Schizosaccharomyces pombe: one gene and its partners. Changing the gene in region 2 together with the main gene of any one other region gives a genetic interaction. Each region holds a gene or a part of one and is shown on either strand. Other genes may lie near its edges.

Evidence for each region.
Region 1: of sec9 (region 2) and syb1, extra expression of one rescues a mutant of the other (dosage rescue), as found in Schizosaccharomyces pombe (one study listed by BioGRID).
Region 3: of sec9 (region 2) and psy1, extra expression of one rescues a mutant of the other (dosage rescue), as found in Schizosaccharomyces pombe (2 studies listed by BioGRID).

The regions. Positions count from the first base shown.
Region 1 is NC_003424.3:3,266,459-3,270,170, forward strand, and holds syb1 (synaptobrevin family receptor), read left to right. Parts: upstream 1-1,832; 5' UTR 1,833-1,852; coding exon 1,853-2,054; intron 2,055-2,118; coding exon 2,119-2,282; 3' UTR 2,283-3,212; downstream 3,213-3,712. Other genes in the region: helicase Sen1, read right to left, coding at 1-1,067.
Region 2 is NC_003423.3:3,941,483-3,945,781, reverse strand, and holds sec9 (protein transport protein), read left to right. Parts: upstream 1-1,744; 5' UTR 1,745-2,037; coding exon 2,038-3,297; 3' UTR 3,298-3,798; downstream 3,799-4,299. Other genes in the region: thi2 (thiazole biosynthetic enzyme), read right to left, coding at 4,222-4,299. UniProt on the Schizosaccharomyces pombe protein: Has a role in cell separation, a final step of cytokinesis and in the assembly of the forespore membrane. May have a role in the transport of secretory proteins to these growing sites.
Region 3 is NC_003421.2:1,027,001-1,031,286, forward strand, and holds psy1 (plasma membrane SNARE Psy1), read right to left. Parts: upstream 2,220-4,286; 5' UTR 2,147-2,219; coding exon 1,292-2,146; 3' UTR 501-1,291; downstream 1-500. Other genes in the region: glucosidase II beta subunit Gbs1, read left to right, coding at 1-111, 156-438; putative histone N-acetyltransferase Naa40, read right to left, coding at 3,256-3,828.

The sequences.
Region 1 (3,712 bases), on a different chromosome or scaffold from region 2:
TCCAAAACCGAATAAATGATGAAACCTATAGTACGCTTCTCTTCTACAAATCCTTTAAGCCATTCCGGAAAAACACTAACAAAGTCATTTAAACATGTGCGAAAAAATGAAGCAATAATGTAAGCCCAGTTCATGTCAGATACTTCAAAAGGTGTAGCTGTAACATTTTTTAGCAAGTTTTTTAAGAAAGAAGACACTTCCTTAAATGAATCAGCGGCAGACCAAAAGGATGAGGAATTGCAGCAAATTCGAAGACAGGACATTTGTTGAGAGGATAGAGATTCAGAAGTCTTTACCAAATTTAAAAGATAATCTTTTAAAATGGACTCACATGCAGCAGTAATGGATTGTAAAGGAAGAAGTTCTAAAAACATGTAAGTACGTTCCCAAAATTCAGGACTACTTATAGACACGAAATTACAATCACTGTCAGAGGAATTTTGACTTTCAAACACTACAGTATTAAAAACGGCGTCAACTGTAGCAGAAGAAATTCTTATTTCAGTATTTTCCTTAAAAAAGCTATGAACCCATTCCAAAACATCGGGATGGGAAGCTTCATAGAAAAATAGTAAATAACCAGGAAGAAATATATTAGAACACCAATCTGAAAGTAGACCATTAAATGCATCTATTGCATTTTTATAAATATTTTTACAGGTAAACAATTTAGGATTCAAGAGGGTTTCGAAAATTAAGCAAGGCAAAGACGTGAAGTCAATTGTTTCATCCTCCAGGGCCTTGAAGTCCTCTAAGACACGGATAATATCCCATTTATTCCACTTTTCCTGTAAATCGGTAATTGAAAACCCAGTAAAAGAATATGAACCTTTCGCAAGGGATTCATTTCGAAGTTCATAATAAGCTTGTATACAAGAAGTACAAGAGCGTAAACGCTCATGATAGGCATTTAATACCCATTTAAAGCTCGGAGTTTCATCATGTGCAAACCAAAAGAAGGTAGGTTGTATATACTGAGTCAGTAGTCCTGAGCAAAACCAATGCTGACCCTCTTTACTAGACGATAATTTTTCAAAACAATCTTGATCGCTAAGATTCTCCGCCATTTGTAACAATCAAATTTAATATTTTTTTAATGTTATGAAGTAAATAATATTTTTTTTGGAAATTTCAACCTGTTTTTCTGATAAAAGAGTGAAAACAAAAAAACAAACAAAAGAAATGTAGGTAAGTGAGTATTGTCTCTTTTTTAAAGACTTTTTTCTAATAAATGTATGATTAAATGGACCCAAATAAACGTTGTTTCACCGATAGACCAAAAACCCAGGAAAAATCTAATATTGCAAGTGCCAAAACCAAAACCCTAATCCAGACGTAAATCGTAACGTAAATAAAATTTTATTTACAAAAGATCTCAAGAATAAAATAACAAATAACGTTTCGGACGCTACAGCGATGAGAGGAGACCTTTTAACACTATGTGAAAGTTAAAACTTTCATAAAAATTTCATAACTCAAGGAAATTTAGAAGAAGAAATATATTGTTATGAACAGCTCAAATCGCCAAGAAACAAGACGTGTTTCCAAATCTCTATTCCAAAGGGCGTAGTTGGTTCCTCCCAAATTCACCAATACTAAGGATTTGTTTACGTTATTTACTATGAGGGTACAGCTAGTTACATGTTTCTTATTGTAAAAAGGCAAGAAGTAATTTTATTACTTTATTTTATTTTTTTTCTTTAATTTATATAAGTATAATCACAAAACTGCTTTGCAACCCAACATTACAAAGCCAGATGTTTAACGCAATGGAAAGAGGATTAACGAATTGGTACACATCAACTCCAACCGAGCGCAAAAATAAATCCTCCACCAACTAACACATACGACCATGTCTGAGCCATATGACCCATATATCCCGGCGGAGCCTTCTGCAGCTGTTCGTAGTGGAAATGCTGCTGCTTCGTCGACGCCGAATATGAAGACAGCTGCAATTCAGCAGCAGATTGACGATACTGTGGGGATTATGCGTGAAAACATTTCTAAGGTTTCAGAACGTGGAGAACGCCTTGATTCTTTACAAGATAAAACAGGTATGATATTTATTTTTGTTAACAGTTAAATTTTTTTTTTGAACGTTTAGCTAACTTCTTTAAGATAACCTTGCTGTTAGCGCGCAAGGCTTCCGTCGTGGCGCCAATCGTGTTCGCAAGAAGATGTGGTGGAAGGACATGCGTATGCGTCTTTGCATTATCATTGGTATCATCATTTTACTTGTTGTCATTATTGTTCCTATCGCAACAAAATTTCATGGCAAGTAAGAAGATGTATCATGTAGCTTAGTCGCATGCCGAGTCAAAATATTTGCTGTTTGAATACTTTTTTTTCAAGCGTATTTTTGTCTCTGGTTTTTTTCTTCCTTCTCTCTTTCTTTCTCTCTTGCCTGACACAACAACCTATAAATCGAATTTTAAGAAAAAAGCTTCTGATGTAGACAGGGCCACTTTTTTTGCAAAGAGATAACGCATTTTTTCTCAAGATCCTTTATTCGTTTTTATTTTTCTTGCATATACATACTTGATGACTGACGGGTCAATGATAGTGAATACCAGGTTGGTTTTTTGTTGAGCAATTTGGTTTTGGCCTGTATTGCTTTTTCCTCTTTTCTTCTTTCTACACCTCACCATACATATCATGGGCCTTGCTTGCTTGACAAAGGAAATCTTTATGGATACAAAATTATCATTACTTTCCGTACTTAAGATGGTAAATAGAATTTTTGTTTCCTTCTCGGTATTTCTTTTCTATTCCGCTCTTTATATGGATAACCCTATAGCATAAAGATGGATAATGTTTTAATGTATACAGATTAGCCTCGATATTCCATTTGTCTACGGCTTTTTTCTAATTCTTCAAAAGTACTTAGTACGGGAGCAAATTTGTTATCTTATTTTCATATTTTTCCTTTAGAAGCTAGCTTCTTTTTATACTGATTATTGCACTGATAGGTGTATTAAAAAACCACTATTCTTAATTAATTTTATAGAGTGAAATGTGTAAACCTGATAATTAGGAAATATTTTTTAAGTTTGCTCACACGTGGTTTTATATCCAGATTAACAATTGTATTATTTTTCGACTTCTATTTTGCTCAACAGATATTGTGGTCTAATCCTTCATTCGTGTAGTATTTTAAATTTTGAATGCAGCACGGTTTACGAATTAAGATATATTCATCAACTGGGTTCAACAGTACTGCATTTGTTTTTGTTTACTATCAATGTAACTTAACGTAATTTAGAATTTAATTGTATCAGAAAGTAGTATATTTGCTCCCCTTAAAATGCTTTAGTCTGAAGAATAGATAATAATAGCCCAATATTTTAATAATTTAGATGATTGAAAAAATCAACAGATTTTTTTGTAATATTGTTTGTATGAATTCTCGTTGAAATATAATAATAAACTACATATATTAAATCGTTCACTTTTACTGAGTGATTGAATTAAATATATCTTCAAATATTTGTATATAATTTTAATAAATTGTAATTGTCTTCCTTACTAGAATTACGCTTATAATGATACTAACCAGAAAATTTAAAAAATATATAAGTTTGATATGTAAATAGATTGTGAAAAACCAGGGAATCACAACAACTCTTGATATTTATCAAAACAAAGATGATTATAACCTACATTTTTACTACGGTTCCTTAGGTAACAAGTGCTACCTATAGTTAGAAGTGTA
Region 2 (4,299 bases):
TCTGGTGTCCGTGATCCGTTGAACACGAGTTTGGTAGACACTAGCTATTGTCGCCCTGTAAGCGTAAACTAATATGGTTGAGGTATCATTATTATTTCACACAAGTAAACTTAGCGAACATTCGCTAAAAGATAATGTTGATTTTGCTTTAAAAGCAGTCAAATAAAAAAAATACATTTTTAATTAATCATGATTCCAGTCATCAAATATGCAAGAAAGTATTTTATTTGAAACTTCAAAACTTGATATTCTTATAGTTTTAAAGAATTCATTTGTATTAGTTTTGTGCTGAGATTGTAAAGCAGCTTATTACTTTTATCGTTGAAGCGTTTAAAAGATCATTGTTTATTCCAGCAAATAGTTAAGGAAAATTAATTAAAGGCAGACAAATCGAGCTTCCCTTTTATGTGGTTTACAATGTTAATTATGCGATTAAGACCTTTATTCCACATGAGTTTGAGTATTTAAGTATGTGTCAGAAGCTTACAAAAGCATACTAAAGTAAAAGAAAAATCATGTACTTTAGCAATTTGTATATTCCTATGATACTATGCTGCGAACATAATTATCATGTGATTCAATTTTTTGAAATCCCCAATATGAACCAGAAATGTAGCTTAATGTTGTATGTTGATGTGATCACATAATTAAGAAACAACTTAATTTTGTTCATATAAAATCGGTTGCAAAAAAAAGGAAAGCGTTTAACAATTATCCTTTAAAGACACTAGCAAACTGCCACTTTAGAAGCAAAAAATAATAAACCATTATCATTTAACATTATGAAAGCAGAAGTTACTTTGGAACAGCTTTAACTCAATTAGTTTTTACTCTGTCAACAGTGTAATAATTTCAATACTTTATACTAATGTTTTAAATTAATTAAAACTAAATCTCGGTCACTTTTACCAAAGTAAAAATAGGAGATACTATGTCGTAAATCGGGGCATCTTCAAAAAATATACAAATATCATTATAAAACAAAATTTCAAAATTTAACGAAACAAAATCTCCACCTTACTAAATTAGTCCATCGGAAAGACAGAAAAATGAAGGATAGTTGGAAAACTATTTTACAGACATACAAAGGGTCTTTGTAATTATTGAGAGTAAAAAATATATATTTACTTCTGTGGCATCAGAAAGATAACGCATAAATTTTTATTCAACAATTTTTTTCAGATAAAAATATATGTTCTCATCATATGCCTGAATTAATGAAAATTTCAGGATGTGTTTATATAGTTTTTCTGAATCTGACGAGATACACAAACACTTGCTTTAAACTCTATCATTTATAAATTAGAAAAACACAAAATATTTTGAATTATTCATTTAAAGGATGTAAAATTTTGACTGTTCGCAAATTTCAAAAATAATTGTAATTTCCACTAATGGTAAGCAAACTATGCTAAATGTACTTCGAAAGCTTTCGTACTCTAAAAATAGAATGGCCCAATAACATTGATATAAAGTGCTAGTCAAAAAGAAAACAACACTAGCGTATGGCTCCATTGTTTAAATTCTATGATGAAAAGTAGAAAGATTGCTTTCTTAAAAAACGCCAACGTAGAACCCAATATGGCATGGATACTTTCAGAAAATTACTGGATTGAGTTTAAGCAAGAGAGTCAGTCGGCAGCCGACTGTTCATAAAGTCTTGGTAATTTAAATATATTTGTTTTGAAATTTAACGCGACATAGCGTAGAGTAGTTAATGTTCCGGAAATTGATTACAGTGCTTACCGTTTGCCATAATTTGTGCTCGGAAGCTTTGTTTGGTTCTGCAAGTTATTTATTTCATAATAATTTATGGGATTTTAAAGAGGAAGGTGATTAACTTGCCGCCATTTCGTAAAGCAAGCAATTGCATTTCTTGGTTAGTAGCATACTAACCCTTAATTATTCTACAATTTGTATTGAGAAACCCTACATCTGACGATTAAATTTTGTAACTCAATCGAACTATCTGCAACTTAAAACTTTTGCTTACGCCACCCTTCTCGACTCATCTTGGTGTGCACTTTAAGTTAAAGAATGAAGAAGCTGTTTAAAAAGAAGAAGGGTGTTAGCCCGCACATGTATATGCTTCCCGAGGAATCCAACTCCAATACGGCAACCAATGCTCCCTCATATTCGGTCGGTGGAACCACGGCTAATTCATATTCTTCCAATAGTTATAACGACAATAACAACAGCAATAGTACATATGGCTCATCCAACAATTATGGAAATTATGGTTCCTCCAACAATTATGGGAGCTACGGTGCCTCTAACACCTATGGAAGCAATGGTTCTTCCAACAATTATGGAAACTACGGTGCAACAAATTCCAATGGAGATGCTGGGTATTCCATTACTCCAATTCGTAATGACCCCTACGCTAGAAAAGACATGCCACCAATGAAATCTTCTGCTGCAGTTACGGAGAGGCCCAGCATGCATCGTTCTGCTCCCAGTCAAGACACTTTAGATCTCAAAAAACAGGAATTGTTCGCAGGAGCACGTATCCAAAACGATGATGAGTCCACAACGGATACTATTCCCCACAATGATGATGGTACTGAAGGAGATGAATATGGCGAAGGATACCGTGATGGATATGAGGAGGATCAAGAAGTCGAGGCCATCAAACAAAAGATTCAATTTGTCAAACAGGATAGTTTGTCAAGTACGAGAAATGCTTTGCTTATGGCAGGAAATGCCGAACAAATGGGTCTAGCTACGTTAGCCAATTTGGGAGAGCAAACCGAGAAAATTGCCACTGCTGAAAAAGAGTTGGATATTTCAAAAATACATGCTAAAAGGGCAGAAGAACAAGCTCGGGAACTGAAAACGCTTAATCGAAGCATGTTTGCTATTCATGTGCCAAAACCATGGGGAAAGGCAAAGAGAGTCGCTGCTGAAGAAGCTCGTTTGGCCGCAAAAAGAGATGCTGAACGTCAAGATGAAATGCTGAATCGCCAATTCGCATATCGATCTCAGAAACGCATAGATCAGGCTATGAAAGACAACATGAAATCAAATAAAAAGAAGGGTGACTCAAAGGGTGTTTCCATTTTAGAGCGTTCTCATTACCAGTTTGAGCCAGATGCCGAGGATGATGCTATGGAGAAGGAGATTGATGGCAATTTGGACCAAATAGGAGCACTGGCAACTCGATTGAAAGGTTTAGCTTATGCAACAGGACAAGAAATTGATTCACAAAACGCTCGTCTTGGTTCTATTCATGATAAAAGTGATCGCCTCGATACTGATGTATATCTGAACGTTGAACGACTTCGCCATATCCATTGATTTTTTTTAAACCACCAATCGTCTGTATTAGCTCTTTCTTGCTATCTGAATATTGTGCTGTCCTTTTATAATTTTTTAATCCAATACCATTCGCGGTAGCCTATTCGTGTTGCAAGTAACTATTGCAAACTAATTAGATGTTGCAGCTTTGATAGTGGTATTGACTGTTAGTTTTTATTCTATTTTTTTGTGCTGAGTACGAAATGAAGTGAATCCATATCACATAGGCATTTTCGATTTCCATGTTTTTGAGCTATTTCGGTATGCATTAATGATTTGTCAATCGATGGCAGTTTCTTTATTTCATTGCTCGCCAATGTCAAGTCAATTTTAATAGACATTTTTAACCTATATCATCGAAACCTTTATACGCAGCAATATCAGAGTAGATGTATATGATGCATCCAATTTAAAGCATGTGTCCTTACGATTATACTATCAATAGTTTTTTTAACCGGTTTAAATGCAATTAATACAATCAATATGACAATGTAAACCGTTAATAATTTGTTAGAGAGTTTTACTAATTTCCAATAATTTAGGGCAAATGGTTGAACATGAAAGTACTTTGATATCTTCCCTATAGAAATAGCCTTTTATTATTTAATTTGTTAGTTCATCCAATATAAAATATTATATTAAGCGATCTGTGAAATTGAGAAGATAACGCAAGATCTCGCTTACAGTTTACTCTAAACTGTTGTGATATTTCGTTAGCCAATTATATTGTACAAAACTACGTGAAAAGGCATAAAACTCATAGCTAACCAAAACTACGAGAAAAGCAGGTTTATTCTGTTAAGTAAATGTATTTGAATCTCTTTGAGTATAAGTAAATTGCATTAAAAAACGTTGTAGTAATGGTAAAATCAATGACTAAAACAAATGTAGAAATATCAAAAGGTTGCTAGTACACTATTTTCTTTACAAGTACTTTTCATTAACAGCCTTACGTTCATCAAAAATAGCAAGAGCTTCTTGAGCAGCTTTGATGCCGCTAAA
Region 3 (4,286 bases), on a different chromosome or scaffold from region 2:
GTGGGATTTGTACAGAGCTATCAAGGGAATGGAAACAAAACGTGAAATTGGTGGCTATACATACAAGGTGGTGTTTTACGAAAATGTTTTTCAAGATTCCATTCTATTAGGGTAGGTGTAGATTTGCTTTGGTATGTGTTTGCTAACAACTCTAGAAATTTTGCCTCGCAGGAAGGAAATGTTCTAAAGTATGAAAATGGTCAAAGTTGCTGGAATGGTCCTCATAGATCTGCCATTGTTACTGTTGAATGTGGAGTAGAAAATGAGATTGTTAGTGTACTGGAGGCTCAGAAATGTGAGTATTTAATCAAAATGAAGAGCCCTGCTGCGTGCTCCCCTGATCAACTCAAGCAGTCTTTACTCAACACCCAAAACAGCGCAAACGAAAATGCTGTTAATGGAATGGAAGACAAGGAATCATCTGTCGATGAGTTATAATATAATATCGCTTATGCCATTTAAATAAATTACTACATTCAACTCATGGTCGTCTCTACAGTAAATTACGCCTATTTTTTTTAAGCATTTTGAAAATATACAACAACGTTTATTGAAATATCCAGAACTGATGATGAACTTCGATTCCGTTCATATACGTATAAACACATAAACTGTTAAAACAATGCTGTTATCGTCTTTTAAAAAACCAAATAAATTTTGTTGGTTTCTACCAATATAAAACCCGAGAATGATGTAAAACACTGCTGGGGTAAAGAACGAAGCAGCATGCCATGAATAAACAAAATAACAATGCCAGACGTGTAGTCCAAATATTTTACACTGCAACTTAAGTAACGAGCGATGAGTGAAAATGAAAAGACTTTCCAGAGTCCATAAATCACAATCGGACCGTTCAAACGGGAAATATGCTAAAAAGGTAAACGTTTCAAAGGTGATATCTAACCGGCCATATCACTGCAGCATTTGAAAATAAATACATTTGCAGCAACTCAAATATTAAGTAAGGGTAGATGGGGAAACGGAAAGGTGTAGACAGGGATTGTAATAACGATCGCAGAGAATTTTGCAAGAGATGGATGAAAGGAAATGAAAATGAATAAGAATAACGTGGATAAAGGGTGAAAAAGGTAAAATTGTACAAACTATACAAGTCCAAGGAAGAAAGGTTTAAAAGAAAAGAAACAGAAAAAAAAGGGGTAAGCAAAAGGATTATGGTTAGAACAGTCAAGATACTAGAAGAATAAAAGAATATCATTAAAACCAAGTAATGAAAAACATGATTTTTTAAAAGAAAAAAACTTTTCATGCAACAAGGAAGAATGACCGTTGATCAATGTCTATTGCCAAGAACAGGAATCAAAACACCACATAAAACAGCAACGATTACACAAATGATAACAACACAAATACCAAAGCAAATCCACTTTTTCTTACGAGCTGCTCTAGCGCTCTTGATAGCTCTATCCATATGCTGAGTTCCTTCACCCATATTCGTGCGAACGTTAACAGCATCCGTTACAATTTTATCCACCATTGGTTCTTGCTCCTGTACCATAGTAGCCATATCCTGGAAAAGCTGTGCAAGTTCAGCAATGGTTCTTTCAATTCTTTTAATATCGGCATGACGCTCCTGGACTTCCCGTAATGCAGTGCGAGCTTCACCAGACCGATTTGATCGAAGCAAAGCCTGAGCAAATACTTGTCCACCATTTTCTTCATTTATAGCGGTTTGAAAATCATCTTCAGTAGCCCTGGGGTTGGCAATTTCAAGCTGCCGACGCATACGTTGTTCATATTGAGCACGATATGTCTTTTCTATTTGTAAAAAGTGACGAATTTGGTCCATAAATTTCTTTTTTACAGCTTCGGTCTGTGTTTTTCTGGTGGCTGTGTCATTATCGGGTGGCAGCTGCATATTTTGAGACTCTAATGACCGGATGGCCAACTGAACGCTAGTTTGGAGACGTCGAGTATCTGATGTGTAACCTTCTAAATGGCGAGTCGTAGCTGCAATATTTGCTTCGTCAATTTCTTGCAGCGATTGTTGATGCAACATCTCAATTCGACCGACATTATCTTCGATTTGACGAATGGCATCGCGAATATGATCGATCTCTTCAAAAAACTCTCCCATACTAAGAGGGATCATCTCCACTCCTAGTGTATAATCGTTTGCTTTATTCATTTTGTTATATTTATCTGTTTAAACCCGTTTTGTTGAACAAACAAGGTATAGATACCTTCTGTTGTTGTTGGTTAAAGACAAGAACGTTTTTCCTACTAAAAATAAAGAATCATACAGCAGCATTTAACGAATGTTTTCGCAGACAATGGTAAACAAAAGGCGGCTTAGCAACAACACACTGTTGAAAGTCCGCCAATCATAATCAAATCCGAGCTTTGTGTGACGTAGCAGTGTTTACTTTTTAATGTTGTACAATACAATCCGTTAAACTTGATATCAAAAATATACGCCTAATACTTAAAAATTGAATTCCAAGGAAGTTGGAGTTTGTTAAAATCACAATAGGATACTCTCCTCGTTATTTGGACTTGTATGAGGTACGAATAAGGAGTGAAGTTTTCTTGATATTCTGGTTGAAAAGAAAGATTTTTGCTGTAGTTTATTTCAAGAAATGCATAAAAAATATTTAATTGTTTTTCGTAGTTGATGGAGTTGACTGTCTCGGAATTAATCGTTCTTTTTTGTTTTTGTTTTTTAACACTAAAAGCAATCATGGTTTGAATGCCATTGGAAACGAGAAAGGAATGCTGAAAATTTTAGTTATCATTGTCGGTAATTTTTCTCTGATCTATACTTCTAGGTTTGAATTTGAAACAGAAGTAATCGATATCCTAAGTGATTTTCTTTGAGTAATTAAAAAGATAGTAACTATATACCTCAATATAGGTAGAAATATTTTGACATTAATGAATAAATTAAAATAGAAATTGTAGCCCCTCCAATCCCTAAGCTGTTATGGTTGAAAAGCAATTCGCATCATGTAACATTACAACGTTGCTAATGGAATAAAACAAAAGTCCTGAACAGAAATTTCAAATATTTTACTAAAGTTTTAAAGGTTTAGTAAATGGAACAATATTTTGATGGGACCAGGTCATAATGTATGGTATCGTAGATTTAAAAAATACACAAAATTTGATGACTTCAATGCAAAACATTAAACTCAGAGATTGGATGCACCAAAGAAGAAAAGAGACTATACACATATTTTGTAGTTTTAGAGGGGGATGGCAAAAAGGTATGAAGCATGTGTGTATACGGAAGCTCAATTACCAATCCTTTCTGGACTTCGTATAAAGTATATAATAGTCCGGATGAATTACTTTTCCTGATCTAAATTTTTTCTCTTGGGGAGATGACTCATGAGGTACAAAATCAAAATGATGATAGAAATTCAAGGCGTTTAAATTGGCGCTAAATACTGTCAGGAAAATATATTTTAGGTTTCGTCGATATGCAAGTATACTTGCATTTTTTAATAACCATTTCCCAACGTTCCTCCCTCGTATATGCTCATCTAGCTGTATCTCATATATGTATAAACAAGTCAGACCTGCTTCCACAGTGTCTTCAAAACTCAGAAATCCTACCAATTTTTTCGAGGTTTTTTCAAAAATACAAATATACTCTAATTTTTCCATCTCCATTTCCTTCAATTTCTCTGAATCATCCCATCCGAAGGAGCTTTGTCGATATAGTGCTTCCATGTTCTTTTTTACCAAATTGAAACATTGCTGAAGAAGTCCTTTTTCTAGATGATGATATATCTCCACCCAAACCCCTAAGTTTTTTAAAAAATCAACGTCTTCGAGTGTAACATTCTTGATTTCCTGGGTCTTCATACGTCTGGGTGAGTAAAAGAGGTATTGCTTCAAAAAATGCATAATGTTGTTAAGGTATCAATATCACATTACACTTTTAAAAACCAAAGATTGAATAAGGGTTTAATACATATCGAGCAAAATGCTATCATTTTTATTATTGTTGCTACAGCAAGCCTACTTAGTAATACACGATAACAAAAAATGAATATTCTTAATCATCTAATAATTCCTATTTCCAATAATCGTTTTAAGCCGTATCCTTTATTCAAATAACAGCAGTTGTATTAATTTAGAGCTTGACTTCTGATGAAACCGGAAGAGACCTTAAACGCAATATGCAACTTTAAAATATATATATAGTTTCCAAAGATAGAAAGAAACTTGCAAACAAAAAAAAACTTTTACAAACAATTTCGGGGTCATTAACGCGTATATTTCAATTAGCATGATTTAACTTCAAGGCATTTTAGCAGATA